Struthio camelus: one gene and its partner. The protein of the gene in region 2 interacts with the protein of the main gene of each other region in a pairwise test. Links are inferred from orthologs where the notes say so. Each region holds a gene or a part of one and is shown on either strand. Other genes may lie near its edges.

What was found.
Region 1: the proteins of ANKS1A (region 2) and DOK3 interact in a two-hybrid assay, tested with the Homo sapiens proteins (2 studies listed by BioGRID and IntAct). The link is inferred for Struthio camelus from reciprocal best matches to the Homo sapiens genes ANKS1A and DOK3.

What each region holds. Positions count from the first base shown.
Region 1 is NC_090954.1:9,774,513-9,789,742, reverse strand, and holds DOK3 (docking protein 3), read left to right. Parts: upstream 1-8,244; 5' UTR 8,245-8,328; coding exon 8,329-8,385; exon of another isoform or gene 8,386-8,722; intron 8,723-9,975; coding exon 9,976-10,269; intron 10,270-10,690; coding exon 10,691-10,784; intron 10,785-10,875; coding exon 10,876-11,048; intron 11,049-11,129; coding exon 11,130-11,876; 3' UTR 11,877-11,927; downstream 11,928-15,230. Other genes in the region: probable ATP-dependent RNA helicase DDX41, read left to right, coding at 1,275-1,298, 1,406-1,507, 1,629-1,788, 1,867-1,941, 2,315-2,375, 3,013-3,149, 3,423-3,495, 3,675-3,828 and 9 more; PDLIM7 (PDZ and LIM domain protein 7), read left to right, coding at 13,942-14,046. UniProt on the Homo sapiens protein: DOK proteins are enzymatically inert adaptor or scaffolding proteins. They provide a docking platform for the assembly of multimolecular signaling complexes. DOK3 is a negative regulator of JNK signaling in B-cells through interaction with INPP5D/SHIP1.
Region 2 is NC_090965.1:5,426,504-5,441,510, reverse strand, and holds the start of ANKS1A (ankyrin repeat and SAM domain-containing protein 1A), read left to right. Parts: upstream 1-8,780; 5' UTR 8,781-8,805; coding exon 8,806-8,999; intron 9,000-15,007. Other genes in the region: TAF11 (transcription initiation factor TFIID subunit 11), read right to left, coding at 3,781-3,911, 4,935-5,031, 5,433-5,520, 5,907-6,046, 6,149-6,349. UniProt on the Homo sapiens protein: Regulator of different signaling pathways. Regulates EPHA8 receptor tyrosine kinase signaling to control cell migration and neurite retraction.

The DNA of each region.
Region 1 (15,230 bases), on a different chromosome or scaffold from region 2:
GAAGCGGCGTTTGGAAAGGCCGGAGGGGTGAGGGCAAAGCGGAGCCGGCCGAGCTGGCGCAGCCGCCTCCCCCAGCTGCTGGGGACCGCCAGCTGCCTCACCCCACTGCCCTGGGGGGCTCCCCCCAACCCAAGGGCAAGAGCAGGAAGAGCCGGAACAAGGTGGAGAAATCCAGTACCTCTATCGGTGAGTCCCGGGAGCTCTGCCCTGCGCCGCGGCCTCCGTGCGGCATCGCATCCCTTCCTCGCCTGCTGTGCTGTGACCGGTCGCTCCTTTCCCTGCCAGCTGCCGTCCCCTTCCCGTGTGCTCTGCCCTGTCCTGGCACGGGGGTTCCCCTCCCCGCTCGCTCGGAGGGAGCCGAGGGTCTGAGGGGCCGCGGCGCCGCGCTGACTCCGCGCTCCTCTGCTTTGCCAGATGACGTGTTCCTGCCCAAGGACTTAGACGGGGTAGAGATGGACGAGACTGACAGAGAAGTGGAGTACTTCAAGAGGTGAGGGAGCACCTGGCTGCGAGGACCCTCCGCAGGGGACGGGATGGGGCGGGGGTGCGCCCTGCCCGGGGGGGCTCTGTGGGGCTGGGGGCGGTAGAGGGGATTTGGATGGGGAAGCTGCCGGCTCACCCAGGTCCCTTCTCTCCCCGGCCAGGTTCTGTCTGGATTCTGCCAAGCAGACGCGGCAGAAGGTGGCCGTGAACTGGACCAACTTCACCCTGAAGAAAACCACTTCGAGCGCGGCCCAGTGAGGTGCGGGGCAGCCCCCCGCCACCCACGGCAGCTCTGCTCTCCTCACTGTGCCCCCCGCCCTGCTCCCCGGGGGCTCCCCGGCTCGCCGCCGTGGGGCCGGTGCTCTCCTCCGCCGCGGGGCCCCGGCGCTCGCCCCCTCGGCGGGCCCCGTCCCTCCGGGCACGCGCCCCACCGTCCCGTCCCCCCCTCTGCACCCGCGGGCACCCGGCTCCCTGCTCTGCGGGGAAGGACCGTGCTGGACCCAATAAAGAACTTTTTAATTTTTTATTTTATTTAAACCCAGCTCTTTAGTGGTTTGTCCCCGCGCCCCGGGGCTGGGCCCACTCGGGTTGGGGGCGGGGAGAGAGGCGTCTGTTCGCGCACTCCGGCGAACTTTGGGCTTCTAGGCGGCCCGTCGGGCGGTAGCTCCGCCTCCCGCTGCCGTCACGCGCGGGGCCGTTGCTAAGCGAGACAGCGCCCGCCCCGCGGCAGCCGCTTCCGCCGCGCGGGATTCGCGTCCGGGGCGGCGCGGCCGTTGCGTGGAGACGGCGCCATGGAGGCCGCGGCCGACAGGAAGGTAGGGCCGCGCCGGGCCGGGCCGGGCCCGCTCTGCTCCGCTCCGGGCGGCCCCGCGGCGCCGGGCAGCGACCTGCCGGGCCGGCCTCACCTCGCGTGTCCCCACAGAGGCAGCGGGAGGAGGCGTCGGAGACGTCGGGCCTGTCCGGGGAGGAGGAGGACGACGACTATGTGCCCTACGTGCCCGTCAAGCAGCGCAAGCAGCAGATGGTAACGGCGCTCCGGGAGGCTCCGCGGCGAGGGGTGGCCCGCGGCCGGCTCAGGGGAGGCCGTGGGTTGCCGCGGCGGTGCGGGCCCCCTCCCAACCCCTGCCCGCCCCCCTTCCTTCCAGCTGCAGAAGCTGCTGCAGATGCGGCGGAAGGTGGTGTCAGAGGAGGAGCAGCGGGACAGCGGGAGCGAGCAGCGGGGCGACGAGGATGACATCCCCCTGGGGCCCCAGTCTAACATCAGCCTCTTGGATCAGCACCAGCACCTCAAAGAGAAGGCGGAAGGTAGGGAAACAGCTGGCAGTAGGGCTGGGTGGCTCCAGGGTGCTGAAGCCTCCTCACTGATTCCCTGATTCCCCTCAGCTCGGAAGGAGTCAGCCAAGGAGAAGCAGCTGAAGGAGGAAGAGAAGATCCTGGAGAGTGTGGCACAGGGACGAGGTGAGTCGTGGGAGCTCTGTGTCCCTCACGCTGGTCTCCAGAGCTGTCGCTGCAGCAGAGAGACTGTCAGTTGGCTTGCAACGCTTGGCGACGTTTACATCCAGGGATGGGAAAGGAAAACATAGCAGGATCCCACAACAGGCATGTGACTGTTTGACTTAATTTTAAGACTTTGCTATTGCTGCCCCCTGGACACACCAGGCCTGCAGCACCTCGTATTTCTGTGCCCAGAAGGGCTCTCTGGGGTACTGCTGTTTGTCAGCCATCTCTGAATATGGTCCCCCAAACCTTTGCCCCAAGTGCTGCTTTGCTGAAGTGGTATGCATCTGGAGATAGAGAGCTTGCGCTGATCTTTTTGGGTCTGTTCCTGCAGCTTTGATGTCAGTGAAGGAGATGGCAAAGGGCATCACGTATGATGATCCCATTAAAACCAGGTATGTTTTACAATACAGGTGTTGTCTTTCTGAAAACATCACTTCCTTGTAGCTGAAAAGAACTAGAAGCCATGCAACCTAGTAGGCAGCGTGCTGCTCTGTGGCTACTGGTTCTTCTTGGGCTGCACTGCCTGGCATCTTATCGTGGTATGTGAGATCAAAGACTATAGGGTCATTTCGGATGTTACTTTACATATGGTAAGAGAGTAAGCTTTATTAAGAGTACATCTACGTTAAGCTTAAAGACTTGAGCTGGATCTTCACTTCTTGGGGAAGATTAAGTTAAAGAAAAAGACTGGGAAAGCCCAGGGAACCAGCACTGCTCAAGGCCCTGCAGTGGCAGGGAACTGATGAAATGAGATGCGTCCACAAGACTTTGGCACGCCATATCCATCGTTCGTGGACTGTTCTCAGTTGCTAGCGTGGGACTTGTTACTCGCTCTCTGGAGAAATGTTAAATGCACGGTGCAGGCTTGGATCTTCCCACCCGCTTGCACGCGAAGCCCCTTGGGGTTACCTGCTTTCCCTACTGGAGCATCAGAGCCAGACTGGGAGTTCCCAGTGCCTTGTTTGGGGCTACTGACTGTGGAGCCCCAGGCTTGTTCTGCACCGTGACCTTTTCCTGTTGCCTCCCCAGCTGGAGAGCACCTCGTTACATCCTGGGCATGTCAGAAGCACGACATGATCGCGTGCGCAAGAAGTACCACATCCTTGTGGAGGGAGAGGGCATCCCCCCTCCCATCAAGAGCTTCAAGGAGATGAAGTTTCCAGCAGGTGGGCTGGGAGTGGGAGCGTGGCTGGCGAGGGCGGGGGAGTAGCGTTCTCATGGGAAACTTGCCTTGGCGAGCGAACTTGGCGGACCCTTCATGCTCTGATAGTGGGATCGCAGCTTAAATTCGAGATGGTAGCCATTTCTCCTAAGGTATCTAGCTGCTGGCCTGGAGGATGTTTATCACTGATGAAAGAGCTGCTTCTGAGAAATGAGTTAGGAGGAAAGCAGGGGAAAACTTCAGGCTCTGAACGTGCCTGTCCCTTGTTTTCTGACAGCTATCCTCAGGGGCCTGAAGAAAAAAGGAATCCAGCAGCCAACACCCATACAGATCCAAGGCATCCCCACCATGTGAGTGCTCTGTCCCAGTGCGGGGAATGTTCTGCTCCCTACGGCCCACCTGGTGGTGTCAGCTGGGTGCTTTTCCCTGCTGATGGGTGGAACCCCCTTCACCCTGCACACAGCCTGCCCTGCAGGTCGGAGCCATTCTGTGATGTTCCCGCTCACGCTCAGCCCTGTATCTCTGACAGCCTCTCAGGAAGGGATATGATTGGCATTGCGTTCACTGGCTCTGGGAAGACCTTGGTGTTCACCCTTCCCGTTATCATGTTCTGCCTGGAACAGGAGAAGAGACTGCCATTTTCCAAACGAGAGGGCCCCTATGGACTCATCATCTGTCCCTCTGTGAGTGCATTGGGGCCCCTTCCTGCTGCAGGGGTGCAATGAAGCCTGGCAGGAAGCTTTTACTGATACTCAGTGGGAACAGTTGCGGCTATGAGGGGAGAAGCAGAGCGTGGAGATTAATAGTTTTCTGTCTGCAGCGAGAGCTGGCCCGGCAGACCCACGGCATCATAGAATATTACTGCCGCCTGCTGCAGGAGGACGGGCTGCCCCCGCTGCGCTGTGCCCTCTGCATTGGGGGCATGTCTGTCAAGGAGCAGATGGAGACGATCAAACAGTAAGACCTAGTGTGGGGGGTCTTGCTGGGCTGGAGCTGTGGTCTTTTTTCTGGCAGGGAACTAAGGGCTGGCATCCGGGCTGGCCTGGTGGGTGAAGGTGAGGGCCCAGGCAGATGTTACTGGCCTTCCAGCCCACAGCATGAGCTCTGGAGCAGGGAGTGTGGGTGCTGAGCAGTTGCTCCTTGATCCTTTCCCTACATGTTGCTGTGTGGGGCAGGCGCCTGACTGCCTGACTTGTCCCACAGTGGTGTACATATGATGGTGGCAACCCCTGGCCGCCTCATGGACTTGCTGCAGAAGAAGATGGTGAGCTTGGACATCTGCCGGTACTTGGCCTTGGATGAGGCTGACAGGATGATCGATATGGGCTTTGAGGGAGACATCCGTACCATCTTCTCCTATTTCAAGGTACTGAGCTGGCGTGATACAAACATCCTACCTTGGGGCTCAGTCCCTGCATCTGCCCATTTGGGTGAGTGCTAAATCCTTACTTGCACTGTGTTCCCTGCGCAGGGCCAGCGGCAGACCCTTCTCTTCAGTGCCACAATGCCCAAGAAGATCCAGAACTTTGCCAAGAGCGCCTTAGTGAAGCCCATCACTATCAACGTTGGGCGAGCAGGTGCTGCCAGCCTGGATGTTGTGCAGGTGAGGTATCTGGGTGCTCCCGTATGCCTGTGTGGGAGGCCAGTGCAGTTCACAAGTGCGCTTGATATTGCTTGCCAGAGAGCTGGGCTTCTTGGCGCTCCTCGGCAGCCCTTCCCAGGCGACACCTGCCGATAGTAGTCCTTCTGCTGTCTGCCTGACCTGTCCCTGTGCTTGTTCCCAGGAAGTGGAGTATGTGAAGGAGGAGGCGAAGATGGTGTACCTGCTCGAGTGCCTGCAGAAGACCCCACCACCTGTGAGTAGTGCGCTCCTGCTGTTCTAACAGCACATCTGGGCCTGCGTGGGTGAACCTCAGCCCAGGGGCATGGATTTAGCTGACCGCTGCACGTCCTCGAGCTGTCAGTGGGGACATGGTGTTGATGTTGCAGGGCATGGTTCAAGGCAGTGCTATGTTTGGGGGTAGGCATTCAAGTGACCATACTCTGTGTACGGTCTTGGGCCCAGAGCTATTGCGTGCTCTGTCTGCTCAGCAGGAGGGAGGGGGTTTCTCTGGAGGTTGTGCCCATTCCTAGCAGTAGCAGCAAGCAGAAGGGCCGTTTTCTTTCCCTGATGCCTGTGCTGTGGCAGGTGCTGATCTTTGCGGAGAAGAAGGCAGATGTTGATGCAATCCATGAGTACCTGCTGCTCAAGGGTGTGGAAGCTGTGGCCATCCATGGAGGGAAAGGTCTGTGAGGGTGTCGGGAGGTGTTGGCTGGGCCTGCCCAGACAGATGTTGCCCTGTCTCTCACCCTGCTTCTGCCACTGTGGTAGCCGAGTATGGCAGGTCCCAACACGTAGCAGTTCACAACGGTCTGAGGAAGGACTGCGGCAATGTCGGGGGCTCCTAGGGGTGTCCTTTCTTTCTGGGTATGAAGCAGGGTAGCAGCCGAGGTGGAAGCAGGCATGGTCGTTTTACATGGGACGTGTCAGTGAGGGCATCGTTCAGTAGCGTAGGAGGCACAAACGCAGCACAGTTCCCGCATGGCTGTCGTTAAATATGCTCTCAAATGCCTTTTGGGTCCTTGTGCACAGTTGCACATGCCTAGGTTGGCTTTGTCTCCGGGGCTGTTTCCCTGAACCCTGCTCTCTGTATCTGTCAGGATGGGGGAGCTCGCCTTGCCAGGCTGCTTGCGTTGGCTGAGCCGTGTGTTGCCACAGTGCTGGGTGGCACCGTGCTCATCTGAGGGAGAGCTAAGCCCACAGAGCCGAGTGCACGGCGGCTTAGCCTAAGCAGCAGAGCCTGGGAGCAGTTGGGGCTTCCCATGCTGGGGCCCTGCTGCAAGGCTGGCTGAGTTTGTAGTGTGGTGAAGCGCATGGGATTGAGCTCCATCTCTTTGCACCCAGCTAGGCATCTTTCTCTGTGTCGGGGGATGAGACAAGGGAGGTCTAGGATGCTGATAGTGAGGGACCTGCGTGTCCCTCTGCTTCTCTATTTAGGGAAAGGATGTGTGGGTTCTCTCAAAGTGGGAGAGCTTGGGCTGTGAGTGATGCTTGGTTCTGAGGCCATAGGGCTCAGTAGAGCTGGGAGCTCTGCCCTTGCTAATCTTCTGTGCTGGTCCTTTGCAGATCAGGAGGAGCGGACAAAAGCCATCGAGGCCTTCCGGGATGGGAAGAAGGATGTCCTGGTTGCCACTGACGTAGCTTCCAAAGGCCTGGACTTCCCAGCTATCCAGCATGTCATCAACTATGACATGCCAGAGGAGATTGAGAACTACGGTGGGGAGTGGGCCCTGTCAGGGGAACTGTGGGAGCACAACTGGGTGGGTGCAGGCCAGCAGGGCTGTGTGCTTGCCATTGCAGTGGCTGGGGCAGGGGCTGTCTCTTCCTGCTGCATTGCCTGGGCTGCGTTTGCCCAGGCCTGATTCTGTCTGTTTCTCTGCAGTTCACCGTATTGGGCGTACAGGCCGCTCAGGCAACACTGGCATTGCTACCACCTTCATCAACAAGGCCTGTGGTGAGAAATGGCATGGGGCTGGGCTGGGGCTGCCTCGAGGGCCCGCACAGTGGGCTGTAGGTATATGAGGTGATAGGACAAGTCACTTGCTTCCCCATGAGCTGCCTCTGCCTCGGCAGTGGTGGTGTTCCCAAGCAAGAGGGACTAAGTCATTAGGGCCCGTGGAGGGGAGACGGTGGCATGGGACAGTGCTGCCCTGCTTCTGGCTGGCCTCAGGGCCCCGCAGGCCCTCCTTTGGGGCACTCCTGTGTCAGGCCCCTGCTTGGGCTGCGTCTGATCTGTGTCTCTGCCCCCAGATGAGTCAGTGCTCATGGACCTGAAGGCTCTGCTCTTGGAGGCGAAGCAGAAGGTGCCTCCTGTGCTCCAGGTGTTGCACTGTGGGGATGAGACCATGCTGGACATCGGAGGTGAGAGGCCCCAGGCTGGGACAGGGAGCTCCGGCAGGGTTGTTGGAGTGACCTGGGCTGAAAATAGGAAGGCCCAGCTCCCATCGCTCCAGGGTCCTTGCTGCCCCCTGGGTTGCCTGCCACGGGGTGGTTGTTGCCTGGCTGCGTGGATGGCCCAGTGCTGGTGACAGGGTGGGAGTTGCAGGCCTAGCCCTCTGCTCCTGGGGTGGGGGCCACCCTCCTGCCTGGTGTGGTGTGGCTCTGCCTGACCTTGCTCCTCCCATTGCAGATGAACGGGGCTGTGCCTTCTGCGGTGGCCTGGGCCATCGCATCACTGACTGCCCCAAGCTGGAGGCGATGCAGACGAAGCAAGTCAGCAACATCGGCCGCAAAGACTACCTGGCTCACAGCTCCATGGACTTCTAGCCTGGGGATGCTGCTGCCCAGTGCTGCCTCCACCGAGGCTGGGAGAGAGGGCCGAGCTTTGACTCTCTTTGGGCAAACAGCGCTGTCCCCCCTGCAGCTGCCCTCATTTCCCAAAGCCCAGACCAGCCCGGACTGCAGGCCTGTCCTGCACCGCTGTGGCTCCTTTTCAAAGCATTTGGGCACTGGGGACTGTTGCCCGCTCAGCCTGCTGAAGCTCCTGCTCTAGGAGGAAATGTGAGGAGCTGTGCTGCAACAGCCCATTACATCAGCGGCATGTTGATGTGAAGCATTGGGCAAGCGGGTAGTGGTGCCTGTGGGGTGGCTGCTCTGTGGCCAGCTGTCTGCAGCCCCTACTCAGCTTCCCCGTGGTGGCATGGCTGGGGTCTGGCATTGCTCTCCTCCAAAGCCCCTGGATTCCTCTGGGACTGTTCCCCCGCAGCTCGTGTTGTGCACTCTCAGCTGGTGGCTGCCTCCTTTCTGCTGTGCTCTGACCAGGGCAGTTTCTGTTACCCGCAACTGTGCCCTGATGCAGCCAGGGCAGGGCAGAGCATGCTGTGCTCATGTCAGGCAGGCCCCTAGGAGCTTCCTTTGCTCTTGCTGCATGTGTTCTGCCCCACTGCCCTCCTGTGAGGGGGAGGGAGGATGGACACCTCCTGTGGCCCAGCCTGCCCCTCATCCCACACAGCAAAAAGGGGAAGTCGCTGAGAAAAGGAAGTCTGCCCCATTTAGTTGCTTCAGCTGCAGCAGTCACACTTCTCTGCTGCTGATGGTCTGAGTCCCAGATCCTTGCACTGGCTGCCAGGGCAGTGCTGTGCCCATGGAGAGACCTGTGAAGGATGGGATCCTCTATGTGCAACACAGCAAATTTGGAAAGGTAAAAGGTGGAGGGTGGGTTTGGGGTGGGTTGTAGAGCTCTGTCTTGCCCTGTTCTGCCTTGATGCTAGACCCTGGGGGAGGCCCTGACCGGATGGGGAATACTGGGTCCTCCACAGCTTCGGCAGGGGAACGACAGAGCCAGACCCCTTGGGTAGGGCAGAGAGGGCCCTGGCCTCTGTAGCTGTAACGGAGTGGGGCAAGGTGGCTCTCCCCACAGCTGAGGGGACTCCCCCGAGCAGGCCTCTGCTCACACTGACCCCCATGTACAGGGTCTGTCCCCTTGCCTGATCGCCACGCGATTCGCGATGAAACAATAAACGTGTGTTAATGACGCATAGCTCCGGTGCTTGTGTGCAAGTGGGGCAGCAGGGGTGGGAGCCCCTTGCAGCTCCTGGGGGTGGTGGGACCACACATAGGAAGTTGCTGTGCGCCAAGCCTTCGAAGAGCCTGACCGTGGGGGGCAGTGCTGTGGGAAAAGCCAGCCGCAGGGCTGGACTCGCTGCCCAGCTGCTCGGTGTGCTGAGCCCTTGGGGATGGGCACTGAGTGCCAAAACCCTCTGGGCACGTTATGGGTTATGTTACTGGAGTCCTGGTAGGAGCTGTGAGATGGTGCTTACAAGGCAGGTCCCACCACTTCGCTGACCGTGCCCAGCAGCATCCCCGCTGCTTCAGCGGGGTGGCTCTGCCCCTTCCTAGAGCCCGTGGGGTGCAGTCAACCCTCCGTGTGCTCAGTGGACGTGCTGGGCCACGGCTGTGCCTTCGATACTCTCACGGAGCTGCTCTAGTCTCCCTGCCTGCGAGAGCTGAGTCCTAGAGCTGAAGTGGGCAGACCCCTATGTGAGCAGAGGCCGATGCCCTGCCATGTAGGACGCAGGTGGGCTTACGGTGGCGGGTATTTTGGGTGCTCGGCTGCGCGTAGGTTCACTGGGGTGGAGGCCATGTTGTGCTCTTGAGGTGTGTGGGGGGGAAGCGCCCTCTCTATCCCATGACAGGCTGGGAAGGTGCTGGTACCACAGAGCGTCCCCTGGGAGGAAGCGGGTTGCTAGCTGCAGGGACTAACTGTACTTGGTAGGTGTGAGCTGCCTGCAGGAGCCCAAGCAGCTCAAAATGGCTTTAATTTGCATCATGGTCTGTCCTGAAAACAGCTCAAGAGGCTCAGCTGCAGCAGCAGCAGGCTAGCACTTGCAGCAGGGAGCAGAGGGCAGGATGCCTGGGTTCCCTTCCCAGCCGAGGGCGAGCGTGACTCACCAGGCGAGCGGAGCCGACCTCGCTGGAGGGCCAGGCTGGCCACCTCGCTGACCTGGCGGCTGGCAGCCCTGGCTTTGGGGCTGGCCTGGCCTGCGGGTGCTGGGGGACCTGAGAAGGCCCTGCTTGCTGTGTCCTCCCCCAGCACGCGCAGTGTGCCCAGCCCCGCCAGGGGTGCGGGAAGGGCATTGCGTGTGCCCGGCGTGCCCTGTCCTGCCAAGCATGGGCTGGAGCCCTTACTGTGCTGGCTGACGCGATAAGGAGGGCAGTGCCGGTGAAGATGCAGCAGGCAGTTGTTTGCTGACCTTTTGTTCCCCTTGTCTGTGCCCTTCCTGCACCCCAGAGGTTCTGGAGGAAGATGCGAGCGCAGCTCTTTGCTGCCAGCCCGTCCGGCGTGGCCCGGATGGAGAAGTTTGATGTGCGGGATGACGGCACGGTGCTGGAGAAGTCCTCCCTGCGGAGGTGCGCCCGCCGGGTGATCCGCCTCTCGGACTGCGTCTCCGTGGGGCCCGTCAGCACTGACAGCTGCCCCAAAGCCACCGCTGCCTTCTACCTCAACACCACGGAGAAGAGCTATGTGCTGGCGGCCGAGCAGCGGGACGAGTGGATCTCTCAGCTCTGCCAGCTGGCTTTCCAGGTACCGCGTCTTTGGGGTGAGCGGGGCCACGAGCAGTGGGGTGGGCAGGCTGCACAGCTGGGACCCCCCTCACCCTGCTCCTGGTTTGGGTGAGCCAGGGGGGCTCCCTCCCTTGGTCCCTGGCCATCACCTTGGGGTGGAGGGTGTTGCTGGGGCATGGGGCCAGGATGCAGCAGGAGAAGGGATGAGTCCCCTTGGGGGGACTAGTCGGGGGTGGTTTTGAAGGCAGGCCCCTACTGGGAGAGTTTCCACTGCACGTGTGCAGCAGGGAGAGGTGCTACAGCCCTGCTTGCAGGCCCTCGCGCTGCCCCATCTCTGCCCGCGCCTTGTGCCACCGCGGCATGTTCGGAGCAGCCCCAGGGCCGAGCTGCAGGACGAGGGTGCCCGGGGCGGGGGCCGCTCTCACATCCCTCTGTTTCAGGGTGCAAAGGAGGTGCCACAGAGCAGCGCCAGGACCCAGCCCGGCTCCGACGTCCACATGGAGGAGAACTCCCTCTACTCCTCGTGGCAGGACCGTACGTGCCATGGGCTGGGTGGCGGAGGGGGCTGGGGCGGGCAGCAGCTCAGCGTGGCAGGGCTGATCCCGGTGCCGTTCTGCTCCCGCAGTGACAGAGTTCCTGGTGCTGGTGCTCAGGACGGACGCAGCCGCCCGCTGCGGCCTGCACGGGCACTACCTGCTCGCAGCTCTCCCCCAGAGCCTGACGCTGAAGGACCCGCAGTCCCGCCAGCCCCTGCTCACCTGGCCCTACTCCTTCCTCCGCAAGTTTGGCCAGGACCAGGTAGGTGGTGCCCCGCTCCCTGACTTCCCTAGGGCAGGTGAGGTGGGCGCCAGCCCCTCACCCTGCCCTCCGACCTCGCAGACAGTCTTCTCCTTCGAGGCCGGCCGCCGCAGCGACTCTGGCGAGGGCACCTTCACCTTCAGCACCCCGCGGGCCCCGGAGCTCTGCCGGGCCGTGGCCACCGCCATCGCCTGCCAGCAGCAGGACAAGGATGCCCCGGAGACCCGGATCCCCATCCCGGGCACCGAGCCCCAGCCCCGGGGACCCGCCTCTGAGGAACCGCAGCCTGGGCCAGCCGCAGGGAGGGTGCAGCCCAGCTCCCAGCCCAGTTCCCAGCCTGCCCTGGGCCTCCTCCGCTTCCCAACCTCGGAGCCCGATGGCACCGGCCCCATCATCTACGCCTCCATCGCCCGGGGCCAGCAGCCCCTCTTCGGGCTGGGGCAGCCTGGCCCCAGCGAGCCCTGGGCCGCGGGGAAGCCGGCCGCCGAGCACCTCTATGAGAACATCTTTGCGGCGCAGCTGGGGCGCACAGAGGAGGAGGAGGAGGAGCACGAGGAAGGGCAGTGGGAGCTGGGGTGCCGGCAGGCCCCCGAGGGCCACAGCGGCGAGGCAGGCCCCATCTACGACAACCGGGAGGCGGTGGCGGCGGCGTGGGGCGGCCCGCAGCCCCCCGGCCCCCCGGAGCAGCGCTGGGGTCCGGCGGGGCGCTGTGCCCACGAGGAGCCCCCGGGGCGCCCCGGGCCCAAGCCGCAGGGCAACCTCAAGGCCAAGCTCGTCCGGCTGCTGAGCAGGGAGGCTCCTGCCGCCGGGCAGCGGGACTGGCTGTGAGCCGGGCCGGCCGGGCCTTGGCGATACGGTGAATAAAGAGGCTGCGCTCGAGCCGGCTCCGTCCTTGCTCGCGGGTGGGAGGGGGCGCCCGCGCTGCGCCTGCGGCGCCCGCATCTCGCCGTCAGGGGGCGCCGTCGTGCGCGCCCCGGCGCGGCGGGCGGTCGGCGAGCTGATTGGCCGAGCCGGCCGCCGGCACCGCCCACCCCACCCCCGGCCGTACTTAAAGGCGGGCCGGGCCGGGCGGGGGCGGTGCCCCGAGTTCGAGTCCCGCGTCCGGCTGCTCCGCTCCGCTCCGCTCCGCTCCGCTCCGCTCGGTCCGTTCGGCCCCGCTCCGCTCCGCCGGGGCGGCCCGGCGCGGCCCGGCCGCAGGTGAGCGCGGGGCGGGACCGGGGCTGCCAGGGGGCCCGGGCCTGGGCGCGGGGGCGGCTCATCCGGCTGGGGGCCCGCATGGGGCCGGGTAGGGGCCTGTGTGCGAGGAAGGCAGGCAGAGTGCTCCGGCAGGGCCCGTGTGGGGCAGCGCTGGGGCTCGGGGCCCGCCCCGACGGGGTGCCGCGGGTTTGGAGGGGGGGCCCGAGCTGTGGGAAAGGGGGCCAGTCCGGCCTGCGCAGGGGGCTGTGTGGGGCGGGGAGGGGGGCCCCGGGTCGGGGTCAGGGAGGCTGGCTGGCCCCGTCTGGACAAGGGGCCCGTGTGGGGCAGGGCTGGGGAACGGGGGGGGGGGGTCGTGTGGGGCAGGGGTAGAGAGCAGGGGGGCCCGTATAGGGCAGGGTAGGGGGGCAGGGGTAGGGAGTGGGGGGGGCCTGTGTGGGGCAGGGCTGGGGGCCCAGCCTGGCTGCCCATCAGGAGTGGGTGCCCCAGGGCCACCCAGGTGCCTTGCGCCAGCCCCATGGGACGTGGCCGTAACCCCTCGCGGAGGGGCTGTGTGGGCCCACCCCATCCCTCCAGATCACTTCTCTGCCCCCCACCAGCACCCTGCCCCAGGGCTGCCGGAGACCCCTGGCTGCTGGGGCCCCCCCAGCCCTGACCTGGGCGTGTGGGGCGCTGCCGGCCGCCTTGGGGCAGACCGCCACGGTCCCGGCCCCGAAGGACACCGCGCCTTGCCCCGGTTTGTGCGGCTGCTCGGTGCTGGGGAATGTCTGACACGCAGCCTTCACCCAGCCTTCCCGAGCGGGGAGCACGCTGGTGTCATCTTACAAGCCTTATATAGCCCGCCCGGGCTTGGGGAGAGCGGGGGCTCGCCGGCCCCCGGCCCTTGCGCCTCCACTGCCTCCCGGCTAGGAGCCCGAGGTCCCCGGCCCTCGGGGCGCTGGGTTTGTCCCTTCCTTGCGGGGGCAGGAGGCAGGGTCTCGAAGGGGCCCCTCAAGATCTGGGAGGGCTCCTCTTGGCTGAGATGCGGCTGGGAGGCTGGGGCCGGCCCGTGTGCCCCCCGTGCCTTGGCCGGCTGACAGCTGTCAGCGCCGTCCCGGCTGGCGCGCAGGGAGAGGCAGGGATTCCCTCCTCGCTGAAGCCCCGGCTCTGCGCGCAGAGATGGGCTCGCCTCCCAGGTAGCATCTGTTTGGCCAGCTGCTGCAGCACGAGCCTGGCTGCGCTGCCAGTCCGCTTGGTTGGCATCGCGCAGCTACTGTGCCGCTGCTAATTCACCCAGCGAAAACGCCTCTGGTCTCCATCCTTCCACACCCGCTGTTGCTTCTCCGTGGTCTGAAACAGTTTTGGCTCTCAGTAGCGTGAGCTTCCAGGGCGCTGTTGTGCGTACTGCAAGGGAGAGCGTGCCCCAGGTTTGGGGCAGGGAGAGCAGAGCCCGTGAGTGCACTGAGCGTGGCAGTCAGCTGTGTCTGGCTCTTTTGTGCTAGTCAGCATTAGCCTGGGCTCCTCAGCCCTAGGAGATGCTGATGGATTTGGGGTGCGTCTCTAACTGCAGTGTGGGATAGTCGGGGTGGAGCCGGTCCTGGAAGCGTGACCTGTCTCCTCCTGCCCCATCCTGCCAGGTGCTGGGGCCCCGCTCGGCTGCTCTCCCTGCGTTGTTCCCGTGCAGCGTAACACCGGGATCGCACCCTCTTCCTTTGCAGAGATGGGCGATGTGGAGTCCTACAAGGTGATCCTGGATGGCCCCGCGCCCTGGGGGTTCAGACTGCAGGGAGGGAAGGATTTCAGCATGCCGCTCTCCATCTCCAGGGTAAGAGAAGCTGAGCCTCGGTAACGCCCATCCTGTTCCTACCTCTGCGGGTAGGAAACTGTGGCTGCTGGGACCAGGTGACTGAGGCGGCAGCTGTATGGGGACGTGGATGAGGTGGGACCCTTGGAGTGCTGGGTCCTGCTGTGGTCTCGCTCCGCTTAGCCTCTACTGCACCACCCCGTTGCCTTATCGGCCCTCGTCTGGCAGGGGACGTGCGTGCCGGGGGTGTTCCGGGCAAGAAGAGCAGCAGAAATTTGAAGTACTGCAAAGCCTCTGCAGAGTCATTCTGGCTGCTGGGGGAGGTAGGGGAGGCCTCTTCCGGAGCCTGTCCGGCAGCTGGGGGAGGGGAGCCGCTCTTCTAGCCTCCGCGCCGTGGGGCTGGCCTCCTGGTCCGGACTGTGACGCTGGGCCTGGCCTCCTGGGGTCTGGGCTCGTGCAGCGGGCTCAGCCCTTCTGTCCTCCCTCCTGCTGCTCGGCTTCCAGCTCCAGCCCGCGTCCGAGCTCCCTCTGGCCCTGGAACGGGCAGAGAGGGGAGGAAGCCCACGCTGCTGCCGGCGCTGGGACGGTGGCCCCCGGCCCGTTTCCCCAGCGCCGAACGTGTGCGTGTGAGAGGCTTTGTGCTGCTGGCTGCTCGCAGCCGAGGCTCTTCGCGCGAGCCGCCCCTGGTGCGACGCTCGCCTGGACCAGGTGTGGTCCCTGTCCCCTTGCACGGGCGCTAGCGGGTGGCTCTGGCCGCGCAATTGCCTTATAAGCCTTGGAATGCGTCTGTCGTCCGCGCTGCTGACGCTCCGGCAGCTGGCACGGGAGGCCGCGTCTCGAGCGAAGGCTTTGCTCGCGGGCGCCGAGCGCTGCCTGGGGGCCTGCTCCGTAGCACGAGCCAGGCTCTCCGCGGCTGTCCCGGTGGGCGCGGGTCCCTGCAGCGCCCCGGCAAGGAGCGCAAACCCTGGGGGCACCGTGCGAGGCTGGAGCCACCGGTGCCGTCCCCCCGAGGCCTGCCGATCTTTGCCGAGCTGAGGGCTCCGCGCTGAGACGGCTTCAGCGAGTTTATTCTCTAAAAAATGTTTCTCTTGGCTGCGAGCCAGCGCCTAACAAAGGGTCTGATCAGATGGAGGAGCCTCCGAGGGCCTGGGGCAGGGGCCTTGTGCAGCGACGGCCTGATGTGCGTGCAGGCCAGTGCTGTTGTG
Region 2 (15,007 bases):
GGTCAAACGGTGACTGACTTAATTCATAAAGAAACTGCCTCTACAAGTTTTAATAAAACCAGAAAAACAAACAAACAAAAAAAGTAAAATATGAAGTAAGCACTAATTAAAGTAAAAACAGATAAGTGATTCTGAAGTGCAAGAAACGAGCCCCTCCTGAAGGCAAACTGGTATGCAATTTCTTTGTTCTACTAGTCCAGGTGGTACGCGGTCGAGGTACTGAACAAGGACGCAGATGCGTTGTTACCTGCGGTAAGGGGCAGTTGTGAAGGGAGAAGCTGTTACAAGAAGAGAGCTTGCTGTGCGTTCTGATAGCAAATGGTGCGAGTTTTGGCCCCCTGTGTTACAGATGAATGCCTGTTCCTTCCCCTGTCACACGCAGCATCTTTACCCTGTGCAGAGTTTTTTTGGATTTTAACATAGTTCAAACTTTGATTTGGATTTTTTCCAGATGCATTTTGTGTTTGCTGGAACGTACCTTTTCTGATGCACATGCTTTTTACTGCATGTAAAACAAAGTAGTGATTGCCACATGTTGAGTGCTAGCAAAAATGAGATTATATGTGATTTTCCTTCATTAATCAGCTGAAAACTACAGCTGTCTGTAAGAGGTAAGCAATGCCCGTTTTGTTTCTTAGCTGAGCACACTCCCCAAAACCTTATTCTTATGGGTTTTTGCTATTTTTTCTACTTAAGCATTATTCCATTGAAATCGGTTTAGCTAAAGTAATATAAGATTTGAATCCTGCTTGCTGGGTAAGGAGCAGCCTTTGATGTACAAGCCATGATGAGTTGAGATCTGGGGGCTAAACTGAAGAAAGCAAAGAGCTTGGGTTTGTTTTTCCTACTGTGCTCTTATACACTCGTCCCTTTGCCCAACTCTGGAGCTGCTGAACACTTCCCTTTAACAGGGACTCCTGAGATCATTTTAGCTCTTCTTTAGCTCTAGGGGGAAGGGAAACACATGTACAGTGCTAGGTTTGGTTTGGAGACATTGGTGATCTGTGGCTTATGAAGAGCCAAAAATTAATTCCTTGCAGTTGTTAGTTTCTACTCCAAAGAAAGAGGGTATGCAAAAGAATAGGATAGAGACAAAGAGTGATAAAAGTGACTGTTGCTCTTCAGATCATCATCATCTAAACTTTGTGTAAAACACACTAAACAGTGTTTGAATCCATTAGACTGAAGGTAGCCTTGAATAACATTTGCTGGAATTAGTCCTTGTATGCTAGCTTTGAACAGACAGCCTGGGGGCAGACTATACTGATGGAGTCCAGTATTTCTGCCATTGCTTTGTCTGCCAAGATGCGCCTAACCAGTGCCTAAAATCAGATATGACAGCAGCTGCAAAAGCTTGACCTTCCTTCTAGAAACTCTGGAAGCAGGCAGGCACAAATGAATTCAAGGGAGGAATATTTGCCTTTGGCAGAAGCAGGGGAGCTGAACTCAAAGGGCTCTGCAGCGGTGCATGGTGTGCTTGCCCTCACCGTCCACTTTGCCTGTGCGAGAGCTGCTGTTTGGATGCTGTGACTTCTGTGAGTTTCTTTTTCTCCACAGCAGACGATCACTCCTCCTTGTTCTTGTCAGACAATGTTGTTTTCTCTGGAGCACCCCCACCCCCCTATGACCCATCCCCTGCTCGAGCAGCCTTTGACAGGATAGATTTGTGTTACTGCCTGCAATGGAAAATGAACTAGAGCAGCCTGTCAGGCCTGTTCTCAAGAGGAAAGTGCACTTTAACTTTTTAAGCATCAGCGGGCATTTCTTTCACCAGTATTGCCTCATGCATTGAGGAATTCAGGAGTAAAAGCAGGGGTTTGGAAATGCAAGTTACCTTTAGTAGTAAAGATGAGACTATTGCTGTGAAGAGCTCTCAGAGTAAGAAAGGAGGTAACAAAGCATCTATGTATCTACAGATGTGCTCTGAAACAAGCCCATATGCAAACAGCTAATTGTAACTAACAACATTGTGAACTGCACAAAACCCCCATAAACAGAAGTTGAACTTTGTACCTATGTGCTTCTGTGCCTGCTCCCTCTTCCTCTGTGAAGCAAGACATATAAGAATGCTTGCCTTAGGTGGAATGCAGTGCTCTTCTTGCTTTTTATTCACTAATTGCTTGAAATGGGACGCTTGTCTTTTCTTTCAAATTTTCGTGGCTTTTTGTTTAAGTAGGTGTCAAGCTTCATCTACAGCCAGCTTGGGAAAGGAGTAGGGTGAAAAGGTGCCTACTTGCAGTGTCACAGAACTACTTACCTCTCCCTTCCGTGTGCGTAGGGTGAACAGAGCTGGGGCCAAGTTATCCACAGCAAGTTTCTTGCTCCAGCAACTTAACTCAATGTGTTCTGTTTAAGAAAAATTAAACCACTTCCACTTTTTTTTAAAATTCTAGAAAGTAAGAAGATCTGAAAAAAAATCCACTTCCTACATGGTGTATATGTGGAACAGGGGAGTACAAGAACTCCAGTGTCTTGACTGATGAATAGCAAAGTTTACTTTTTAAAAGCCTTTTATTTAAGGACTCTTTCTGTGTTATGATGAGAGCCAACTTAATCCTCTGTGTAACTATAATACAGTTACCCTAGGGAGAGCACATGGCCTCAGCATCTCTTACATTTAGTTAGCAGGAGAAGCGTGCTCAAAGGGGAATACTGTATGTACAGATGGGTAATGTACAAGTCTGAACTTGATTTTGAGACTTAGGCAGTATTGGAACTTTGTTGCAGTATATTTCCACTCATGCATTTACTGGTTCTATGAACCATGAAGAATTAAACTTGTTAACCTCCTTACTGGTGCATGCTTTTTTTTCCTCTCTCCTTTCCCTCCATTTTTTCCATACTCCTAACTATTGTTTTCTAGACAACTCCATAAAACTGGCTTCAGGAAGAACAGCTGAGTGCTGACTTCAGCATCAGCTTTCAGCATGCATTCCCTGGCTTATGCTAATAGAACAATATGTGCCAGAGGCAAGGTGAAGCTTCACAAACATGTTGGGGTTGGTTGAGACAGATCGTCACATTGCACTCTCCCTACTTGGGATCACACAAACACAATTACACAATTAGTATTTCACTGCTCTCTCCAGAGCAAGAAGAACTATTCACATCCCAGCCAGACTATGAAAACAGTAACAAGTTTAATGTACAAAAAGACACTTCTGTACCTACACACCACTACATCTGTGCCAGCAGAAAGTATGATCCTGTTGGGTAAACACACTGAGGCCCCTGAAGGTTTCTATCCCTGGTCTGTTGAAGTATGGGACCCTGAGGCCCTAAGACAATTGTTTGGCTGCTGCCTGCTTCTGCACATTGCTAAGATCACAAGCCAGATTTCAGCAGTTACATTAGGAAGCCTCACCACAGTTGCCTAAACGAAAGTCTACGCACAATAAAACGTTTACAGGCTCCTTGAAGGGGAGGCTCTAATACCAAAATATGCTCAATGGGGTAACTGCATTACCCCATACAGAGGTACTCTGAGCTTCATCTGCAGGGCTTTTTCCTCAGTCCTCCTACCCCATCAGCCATGCCAAGAGTATTAACGGCTACATTTTGTAAACTGAAAACAAGCCACATAAAAATCAAGCTGGACTGAGTGCAACTTCAGCATCAAGGTTTGTTTTCCTGTAGGTCCTCGGAGAACGATACGGGCAGGCAACAACAGAAGCTTGGAGCGCTTAAGCCTCGTAGTTCTGCTACGACTCTTGAGGTTACGCAGTACCCAACTGGAAGCTTGCTTTAACTCCTGTCTTGTCATGATGCTGTTGAGATACTTCAGTGGAAGATGATTTTCTTATATTTGGAATTGGGGATCTGTCCCCGTGACTTGAGCCTCCTGACTGCCTCTCGCATGTGTTTGGGCTGTAGAGGTGGCAGCTCTCCCCACTTCTCACATACATCCAGTGCTAAACAAAAAACAAGAGTTCACATAAGCAGGACAGCTGAGCTGAGCCAGTCTCTTAACAGATGATACCTGAAAAGCCTCCTACTGTTTTGAGCTTTAAATTTCAAAGGCAAAAGGTAACTTTTCTCTTGTTCAGAGTTTAAAGCTCATTTTATTAATGCATGAGAGTGAAACTGCCTTATGTGTTTCTCTTTGACTAAAAGAAAAGTTAGTCCTAGAGGCATCAGCACTGGACAAGAATAAACCACTTCTCAAACAGCTTCAGCTATGGAATACGCTAGTTTAAGTCATGCAAGAACTTGGCAATAATGCCTTATGATCTTAAGCCTTCCACTTTAAAAACCCCTCTAGATTGGGATTAGGTTTTGGGGTCATTATGTGTAGGAGCAATAGGAAGGTACAATTTACAATGGACTTACAGGCCAATTCCTTCTCCATCAGCTAGAATAAGCATTGTTTACATCTCCTGCCAAGGACATGAAGCAATTAAGTACAGCAGTGAAGCTGCTTATCCAAACTGCCTCAGGTAACACACAGAGCTGCAGCAGGGAAACAGCCAAACTGCATCATCCTGGATAAGGTAATCCCTGCATGTATAGGCCACATGTTTTGCATGACAAGTCTGTACTGAGCAGATGGCATGAACAAACAGTACTGTCTCCTCCTGGAGCGTGAATAAGGGAAAAAAAAAAAACCCAGGTACTTGGCTGGGTCAGCCTTCTACAGGATATCCCAAAGAGATCTCGGCTCATTGTTTAAAGCCTGAGTCTTACAGATGAGAGGCCTAAATAACTTATTTCCCTGGGCTGCATTTGTTGTCCACAGCAGCATTAGCAAAGATCTTGACTGCCCTACTGCAGCCTGCTCACACGCCGATTTGTGTGGCAAGAATGTTGACGTTATTTTCCTTTGAGGAACCAATAGAATTCCCAGTCTCGTTTCATATCCTTCTGCTTGGTTTTAAGCAATGAATTTACCATTGTATTTTTAACCTTTTTGCCCCACGATAACATATTCCACTTACCTTCTTCCACCACCTCCCCAACGAAGACCTTGGAAATGCCGGACATGGCAATAACCACGTTCTGAGAGACAGAGGTGCCAGTAATTGACTGGATTAGCTTGACAAGCAGGGAAGAGACAGTCAGTTGAATGAAGTACGCAGCAACAGCGAAAGTACTAGCCATTACTTCTATCTGTTGCCCCACGCACCCTAACCACTTTCAATTACAATGGGTTGGCAGAGACCCCCATTTAAACTGCATAAGCCATGCAAATTCAGTAAGCTCGAACAGGGTCAGATAAGCTGATCTGAGGACAACGGTCTCGGCCACGAAGGCTGAGACAAGCAGCTGGAAGAGAAGGTGCATCCACAGCCTGCGCATACAGCGGATCCAGTTCTTACCCTATGCAAGTCTTAAATCTGCAGTTCTATAGCCAGGCTTGGTAAGGCTCAGCCTTTTAACCCAGCCCACTTTGCTCATATTTTTTCCCCTATAGCAAAGCGTTATTAAAACCATACCCGTTTAATAGCAGCTTTGGGGAAAGCAGACCGACGATACATCTCATAACGATTCAACTGTTCTTCAGAAAAGGAAGAGACTAGTATTCTGGGGTGGAAAAAATTGATTGTTTACAGGGGAAAAAAAAAGAAAAAAGAAAAAAGAAAAAAGTTTAGCACATCTCTGGCTACTGGGTTACTGAAAGTCTCGCAGAACCTTCCTACCACCCCAAACCTCTCACAGTACAGAAGAGGGCCAGGAAGGGAAAGACTGTTCCAGCTGTACTAAAATTTATATGCAAAATGGCTAGGCCCATTCAGGAGGGGAGAGACCTGGGAAAGAACTAGGGAAATCATCAGCAACAGTCTCATAAAACAGCTAGAGGTTCACTACGCAGTCAGCGTGTCTAGAGACAAACTCCATACAGCAACTTGTGCCCTAGGGAGCACCAGCCTCCTCCAGGGAGCAGCCCGGCCCGGCGCACCGCCACTTACTGCATCTTCTGGATCTCGTCCTCGTCCACTTTGTGCTTCTTCTCCTTCCTCTCCTTCAGCTCCAGCTTCACCTTCTTGGCCGCGGACGGCTGCAGGCTCGGGTCCTCCCCGTCCACCGCCTCCCCCTCGGCGCTCCTCACCTGGGCGAGAGCGCACTGCTCGGCTCGGCGGCGCCACGACCCGGCCCGACCCGGTCCGGCCCGACCCCCCCGCGCCCCCTCCTCGCTCCGGCCCGGCCTCACCTCCCCCGCCTGCGCCTCTACCGCGGACTCGCCGCCCCCGCCGGCCTCTCCCGCCTCGCCCTCAGCCGCTGCCTCCGCGGCTGCCGGCTCCTCTGCAGCCGCCGCTCCGGGGCCCGGGGGAGACGAGGAGGCAGCGGCCGGCGGCGGCTCCGGGGCGGAGGCTCCAAGCTCCTCACGGCCCGGCGAGTCGGGCTCCGCCATCGCTCCCCGACGGCGGCGGCGGCGGCGGCGGCGGCGGCGGCGGCGGCGGCGACGCCTCCTGATGACGCCACCGCTACGGTTGCCGCGAAGGGCCGCGCCTTGCCGGCGGCGGGGCGGGGCCTGTCGCCATGGCAACGAGGCCTGCCCGGGGGTGAGTGATGGGGCCGGGGCGGGGGGGACTGGGAGGTACTGGGAGAGCGGGTGGGGAGGGCCGGGGGCGGTGTGGGGGTTGTGGGAGGGAGGGCCTTGGGGTACTGGGGGGTACTGGGGCGGGATGGGCTGGGCTGGGGGGTACTGGGAGAGGGGGGTGGGAAGGGCTGGGGCAGTACTGGGGTACCAGGGCGGGAAGGGCTGGGGGGAACCGGGTTCCTGGGGTGGGAGAGGCAGGGGTCAGCCCCGGCGTATTGGGGCGCCGCGGGGGGTGACGCAGCGGGGGGCAGAGGCCAGGCCAGTAGGGAGCCGAACTGCAGGGCCTGGAGCTTGGCTCCGGCCGGGGGGCAGGACGTGCTGACAGGGGCAGCCGTGTCCCTTCCTGCTCTTGGAGCAAGGGGACGGTTGTTACACTGATGAGTTGCTGGAGTCGTTGCAGAAGCGCGTTCTCAGCGTGGCGTTCTTGCACGGAAATAGGAAAAAAGTTAAATATTAAGAAGGAAAAGTGTTACGGTAGGGACAGAGTCTGGGGTCTGGAGCTGTGGAAACAGCCCAGGGTCTGGGTGCACGCTTTAGTCTGTGGCTCTGCAAACCCAGATCAAAGTCACCAACAAAACAGCTCTCTCTGAGGCATTGGCAAGGATCTCCTGCTGATTTTGTTTCTTGGAAGCATGAATCAATTTGGAAAGGCTAAGCCAGTCAATGATTTTCTGCATTGTTTCCGTCTAACAGGGTACCACATGACACAGCAGGGAGCAGCAAGGTTGGGGCGAGACGCGGGGAAGCCGGGACTCCCGCGTTCCCGGCCCCCCCAGCCCCTCCTCAAGCCTGGGAATTCTGACGCTGCTTCTTTGTTTCTTTGTTTGTTGTATGGAAAAGTAGTGATAACGTTGACCAGCTTCACAGGGCTACAGGATTAATTCCAGCTTGCAAAATACTCTGAGCGCCTCTGGTGAAAGGAGCTAAATATGTGTAATTTCCAGCGGCCCTCTCACGCATCAGCTTCCCCTGCGGGCTCTGGCGAGGCAGGGTATGGCCGCTGCCACGCGCGCTGGAGCACGTGGAGTCCCGCACGAGCGCGTGGCACCTCGACGCAGGGGATGTTTCTGGCGGGCACCAAGGCTGTGATCTCCTGTAAGTGTCCTCCTATGTATTTCCCTCAAGGTGAGGTCAAGGTGAACGACGTTCATCTCCCGTCTCTCGAGCGCAGGCTGCGCTGGGTAAGGGATATCCCCCAGCCAGAGACCTGAAAACTGCCTGAGCAAAACTGTGGCAAATCCACTTCAGTTCCGCTTGGAGGGGCAGCGACCGAGGCTGGCTCTCTGAGAGGACTGATGCTGTTAACGTGCTGTTCAAATGGAGCACCTGGCCGCATTTGAATCATTTTGCGTGCCAGCTCGTAGGCTGCCATCGCGGACAACTGTTTCTGGCTGTTTTGCTTCCCCTTGAAGAGCGATCGTCAGCCAGAGCAGAGCACCAGCACCGTTCCTCCCCAGAAGCCTTTGCTATGGGCAACGGCTGAGAAATAGCCTGCGAATATTCCTTTTTCGTGTCTCTTTCGCCAATAGACGCGCAGAACGAGAGCCCTGGCAGAGACGTGCCTTATTTAAACTGTTCTAGGAATTAATTCTTGTACATATTATGCCCAACTGCTCTAGCGACGGGAACCCTGGAAATGCAGAAAGCGCTGGGGCTAGACCAAAGGCGGTCCCTTTCTTTGCGTAGCGCGTGCTGTAACCCTACCTTTGCGTTATTCACGTCCCTCCCTTTCGCGGTTGTAGCAGACTCCTTAGCTTTAACGAATAAAATGAGCCAAAGCAAAATTAATTTAAAATACCCTTAAAAAAAATAGTTGGAAGTCATTTAAGGGATTTATGGAACTAACGAGGCCAGGTGTAAATCGCCTTTTGGGCGTTGCACAGCCACTAACACCGCAGGCACATCCGGCCCTCATGCACCGGGGTGGGGCGGGTCGGGCCCCCCAGCCCGCACGCGTGGGAGTTTCGGACCCGCCCCCCTAGCCCGCACGCGTGGGAGTTTCAGGGCCCCCGGGACCTTACGCACAGCGGTTTCAGGGCCCCCCTGCCCCGGAGGGGGGCGAGGGGGCGGTGCCCTGCCATCCCGCCGGGGGGGCGTCCCGCCCCTGTAGGGCGGAGCTTCTTCAGGCCACGCCTCCCCCCGCCGTGGGCGTGGCTGCGGGCCGAGAGGCCCCGCCATGCCAGGCCCCGCCCTCCGTCAGGCCCCGCCCCGGAAGGACGCGCAGGGGGCGGGGCGCGGCGGCGGCGGCGGGCGGCCGGGGCCGGGCCATGGGGAAGGAGCAGGAGCTGCTGGAGGCCGCCCGCACCGGGAACCTGCCCGCCGTGGAGAAGCTGCTCTCGGGCAAGCGGCTCAGCTCCGGTTTCGGCTCCGGCGGCGGCTCCGGCGGCGGCTCCGGGGGAGGCGGCGGCGGCGGTGGCGGCGGGAGCGGCGGTGTGGGGCACCCGCTGTCCAGTCTCCTCAGGTGAGCGCGGCCCGCGGGGGGCGGGGAGCCCAGACGCTGTAGGCCCTGGGGCGGGCGTGGGGCTGGGGGGCCGTGGGGCTGGGGGGCCGTGGGGCTGGGGGGCCGTGGGGCTGGGGGGCCGTGGGGCTGGGGGGCCGTGGGGCTGGGGGGCCGTGGGGCTGGGGGGCCGTGGGGCTGGGGGGCCGTGGGGCGGGGGGCAGTGGATGCGTGGGGCTGGGGGGCCGTGGGGTGGGGGGCAGTGGATGCGTGGGGCTGGGGGGGCGTGGGGTGGGGGGCAGTGGATGCGTGGGGCTGGGAGGTGCAGGGTGCGTGGGGCTGGGGGGCCGTGGGGTGGGGGGCAGTGGATGCGTGGGGCTGGGAGGTGCAGGGTGCGTGGGGCTGGGGGGCTATTGGGTGGGAGGCAGCAGATGCATGGGGCTGGGGGGTGGGAGGTGCAGGGTGGGAGGCAGCAGATGCGTGGGGCTGGGGAGCCAGGAGGTGTAGGGTGCGTGGGGTGGGGGGCAGCGGATGCGTGGGGCTGGGAGGTGTGGGGTGTGTGGGGCTGGGGGGCTGTGGGGTGGGAGGCAGCAGATGCGTGGGGCTGGGGAGCCGGGAGGTGTGGGGTGCGTGGGGCTGGGAGGTGTGGGGTGCGTGGGGCTGGGAGGTGTGGGGTGCGTGGGGCTGGGGGGCTGCGGGGTGGGAGGCAGTAGATGAGTGGGGCTGGGAGGTGAGGGGCGCGTGGGGCTGGGGGGCCGTGGGGTGGGAGGCAGTGGATGCATGGGGCTGGGGGGCCAGGAGGAGCGGGGTGTGTGGGGCTGGGAGGTCGTGGGGCGGGAGGCAGTGGATTCATGGGGCTGGGAGGCATGGGATGTGTGGGGCTGGGGGGTGGGAGGCAGCGGATGCGTGGGGCTGCGGGGCCATTGGACGGGAGGCAGCGGATGCGTGGGGCTGGGGGGCCATGGGGTGGGAGGCAGCAGAGGTGTGGGGCTGGGAGCCGTGGGGTGTGGGAGGCAGTGGATGTGTGGGGCTGGAGGGCTGCGAGGTGTGGGGTGCATGGGGCTGGGGGGTGGGAGGCAGCAGATGTGTGGGGCTGGGAAGCCGGGAGGCGCGGGGTGCGTGGAGCTGCAGGGCTGTGGGGAAGGGGGTATGTTGGGCTGTGGGGCAGGAGGTGGGATGTCACGGCGTTGAGGGCAAATAGGGTTGTGGAGTCCGGGGGCCTGGGGTAGGCGGTAGGGATTGGGGTTTGTGGGGCGGAGGTGGCTGTGGGGCAGGAGGGTGGGGGTCTGTGGGGCAGGAGAGGGGGTGTGTGCGGCTGGGGGGTTTTAGGACCGTAGGGCGGGAGGTGAGGCGTATGGGGCTGGGGGGCAGAGGTGGGAGAGGCAGGCAGCGTGGGGCTGTGGGGCCTGTTGGCAGGGGCTGGGGGGAGGCTGCAGGGGTTGCGGGTTTGGGGGTGCCCGTGGGGCTGGGGGATGAGGTCTGGAGCCTGAGCCAGCGTGAGCTGGGCGAGGAGACGGCGGCAGTGGGGCCGGGGGTGGGATGAGGCGTTAGGGAGGGGGCCGTGACGGGGGTACGGGAAGCACGGGCTGGGCCGGGGGGAGACCCTGCGGCGTTGGTGCCGCCTGGGTGTTACGGGATCCATGGGGGCTGGCGGCGGCGGCGGGAGGCTGGGAGAGCCGGGAGACGCGGCTGTCTGGAGCGCGTGCTCCCGGCGTGGGGAGCTGCCCGGTGATGTGTCCCCAGGGCTTAAACCGCTACAGGGTTACGTACGCCATTGGTAACGGCGGGTAGCTGGGGACTGGCGAACCAGGGAAAAGGTGCTGTGTTTGGCCAAGGGGAGCGGGACTCTGGGTTAGGATGCCAGAAGAGGCTGGCAGACCTGCAGCCGGGATTGTGCCCGTGTGTTCCTGCAGTGAGGGGAGCTGCTGGATGAATTTAGTGGGGCAGATGTGCAGCTGGCTGTTCAGCAAGACGTCCTCTCCCCCCCTTGCTCTCGTTGTGTTCGTTTCACGCGTGTGCTCCCTTTCTCTGTAATTTTCGCTGCTTGCTGAAATGCTGTTATGGCTCTCGAATTGGCAGTGGCTGTTCAGGCTTGGGGGTCAGTGGTGCTGTGCCGCACAGACGTACGTAGGGCATAGCCCTTTGCTTTGGCATTTAAAGTACCGTGCTATGTAACTTGCTCTGTTTTGAAGCTTGTAGACCTTTGTTAGTTTTTTTCTCCTCCCTTTTTTTCGGCATCTCACAAGGGAACCTCTTGCTGGTGCGTTTCTCAAGTTGCAGCTTTTTGCAGTTTCGGCTCCTCTGCTGGAACTGCTGCCGTTCGTGTTCCCTGAGCTCCCTGTTTGTATTGGAAGGGAGGCGGCGACTGAGTCCACTGCTGAGTGACACTGTCACTGTATAGCTTGACTATTCAGACGGATGTGACTTGCCCATTTGTGGCTAAACTGGATCCACTTTTCCTTTTACAAAACGCTATTGGAAATCTGCTGTTGCACTTCAAACTGATTGGCAGAGATACAGTGATGTGGACGGGTTTTGCTTTCCTAGTGCTGATATATATGTTGGTGTCTCAAATGTAAATGTGTTCTTAGGTTGAACTTTATACTTCTCTTTTAATGTATTAAACACACCGAGTCCTTGTTTTGAGTGGGAAATTGCTCTGAACACTTCAAGCTCATCTATGTTAGAAGATAGATGTACTTGTAGGGTGTTTAGATAAAGTGGAGAGGGTCAGCTGAGTTAAATACACAGCACAAGTGTTATCAACCTCTTGTTCTAACAGCTCTGCCATGCTACCCTGTAGTAATGATGCCTTTTTTCTTTTTTTTTCCTGGTAAGACAACTGCTTGTGCTAGCAGTTGATTTGTGGAGTGGGGAGGCTGTTTGACATCTGATCAGTTAGCTTGTTTTTTTCACGTGTAAACATAGTGTGGTGTATAGATATGTCTGAAGGATGGTGAATGTCAGCTGTCATTCATAGCCTTGCCTGTGTTCGTTTACTTGACAGTCTTAAAAGTCTTTTAGTTAACACCCACCAAACCTCTTGATTCTTAAACCTTTTGCTGCCTGCCGTTGGGTTACAGTAAAAATTTGGGCGTGATTATGATAGCGATTCTCATCCTGGAAGCGTGTTGGATTCTCAGTGTTTGCGGGGTGTGTGTGGTAACCTGGTGTGTGTGGAATCTGCAGTAGCATCCCTTGATGTATGACTATCTGCATGGACGTGTCCATGTTGATGTTAGTCCTGCTGCTCGGATCGTGACCTTTACACTATGTTTGCGCATGCAGTGGCTGCAGTCTTCCCAGGCGTCGATGTTACAAGCCCTAGGGAGTGGTCCTGAGGCTGGTCTGCTCCTACCTGTCGGCACTTTTTGCTACCTGATAGTTGGGGCAAGAGTTCAGGTGGTCGCTCTGGGCATGCAGCCGCTGTGTTCCCACCTGTGGTGTCTGGAGAACATGCTTTCAGGGATTGAAAATGGGCTTTGGACAATTTAGAGGCTATCTGATGATTTCTGGTGTCCTGTCAATTTGTTATGCTTTTACTTGGCTTAAATGGCTTTAAGTGGGGAAAAAAGCACTTATGCTTGTTTTACAGATGCAAGGCTTTCGTGAGGAACGGCCACTAAGTTTACTTGCAATGAGAAGCCTGGCAATTGGTTGGGGAGCAACTGGGACAAACTGGGCAGTGTTCAAAGCTGATGCTTTCTGTAGCATGAACTCAGTTCGTATGGCTTGTTCAGCAGCAATAACCCTATGGAGTCCTGGTGGGACTATGAGATGGCTCTGAGACCTGACTCTCTTTAGGGGGTTGTTATAGCAGCAACCGCACTCCTTCGTGTCCCCTTAGTAGAACAGTAACAAATTGGATTTTGATCGTTGCAGTGGGGATTGAGTTTCCATTCCAAAAAACAAAAAAGCAACCACCTCACCCCCCAAGTTTCCAAGTGGCCTCAACGTATCAGAGAAGAAAGTTGGACAGTCCTCTCTTGTGTGTCATCCTGTCTCTGTTTTGGTCTGTGTTTACTCTGTGAAGTGTGAAACTGGCTCTTGCCCCTGGTGCCAAGACCTGATTACTGACTTTGCTCATCTCTGGAGGTGTGTAATTCCTTGGGAGCATCTTCACCTGTGGTTTCCCTGCTTCCTGGGGGCAGGGAGGATATGGCAAGAAGTACTCTGCAGTAGGCAAGGTATTTAATTATAGCTAACTTTGCCTTTCTGTGCTCCTTTTTAAAATAACTTCAAGGGGTTGGAAAAGAGAAATATGGAAGTTTGTCTGCCTTACACTTAAAGGAAAGTCGAAGGGGGCAAATTAAAGGGAACTGGTGTTGTGGGAGGGAGAGTGAATGGGTGGAGGTGGCAGAAGCAGTGCTGGCTGTGGTCCGCCCCAGCACCCTCTGCCTTCTCTGCAGGACAGTACCAAAGGTGTGTGACAGGTCAAGAATAACTTTGGAGTAACTTTAAAGTTGAAGTATTTTCCCTTAAATCTTATTTCTGTATCTTGATTTTTTCCTAATGATGATTAGATGCATTTTCTAAATTAAAAACAATGAATATGGACTGGAAATGTGCTGAGAGAGTGTCATAGTGACAATTAAGTGGGAGCATTAATGAAAGTAGTAAATTGATGGAGAAGGCTAAGGTGCTTCAGCTGGTGGCTAACTCTTTATCAGACTCTACAGCAGGAAAGCTGGTTAAACAGTAGCTGCTTTCAGTATTAATAGATAAAGAAATCACAAAATAGGTATTGGGAGCAGGGATTTATTTTTTTGTGTGTATGATAAGGTTGGATCTAGGAGAATTTAGGTTACAAATCATTGTCATTTGTCATCTGAAATGTGGAAGTGTCAAGACCTGGGGCAGGACTCCTTATAGCCTTGTTCAGATGTGGGTCCTGCTGAAAGCTTCTGGCACAAAATGCCCTTGTGGTTTTTTTTAACAGCTAAATGCAATGTTTTATTAGCTTTGAAACCTTTGAAAAGCTTCTGAATGACACTCGCTCAGCTGCTTCTCCAAACTGCCTTCAGCCTGCAAGGCGAGAGGATGGTGTGAAGCTTGTGGGGAAGGAGTCTGCATCAACTGTAAAGAAAAGACAGGTTACATTAACAAGTTTTAGGAATGTGCAGGGTATAAGAAACTTTACCAGTGAGACCTCTTCTAATTTGGGGTTGCTTACCGTTTGGTTGTGGTGGAGAAACTTTTCCTTGGTCAGTTTGGTACGTTTCATATTTTCCCTTCCTCAAACAAGTTTTGGCAGGTTTCTTTTTTGTGAAGTCATTTTGATTTCTGCTGAAGCTGGCTTTAATGATCTAGATCATATCCTTTACAAAAGATGTCTGCTGGTTATGGAGCTGCTCAGCTGTCCTTGGGTCCCCTGAAGCTCCTGCCAAGAACAGGGTTATGAACACTCTACTGGGCTGACAGAGCTCCCTTGTTCCTTCTCCTGGCTGATTTCAGGTCTTTTTTGATGTCAGTGCGCTATTTCAGTTTCTATTTTTTAACTGTCTCACTGTTTGCACTACCTATTCTCGCAAGAACATCTCACTTTCCTAGGCATTGGGCCCATTCCTTCTGTGCAGTTCTACAGCATTTGAGATAGGTCCCAAAAATAGTTTTGAATTAGATACACCGCACATAAAAATAGTGGGCCGTTAAGCATATTACAATTTAAACGTGAACTTTGTCGGATCTGGGGATTTTGTACTTCCTGCTTAGATCGCTGAGCTGCGTCCTCTAGGGTGTGAAAGACATGAATAATCTCCAAATGAAATCACAAAATTCTGCAGATAAGCAGGAAGAAAGAGATGATAGGCTGTGATAAGTCAAATGAGAAGGAAGCACCAAAGGTAGAATGGTAGATAAAGCCTCGCCCTAGGGGGCAAATGTGCCACTATGTAACCCTAAAAATATTAGGCAGGAAAATACACCCTAGTGGAAAGGGGTGCTAATGTGGATAAAGGAATACAAGTGGTAGGTTGTAGTGTTAAGGGTATGGGGAGGATAAGAAGCAGCAAAGAAGAGGGAGATGAGTTTCT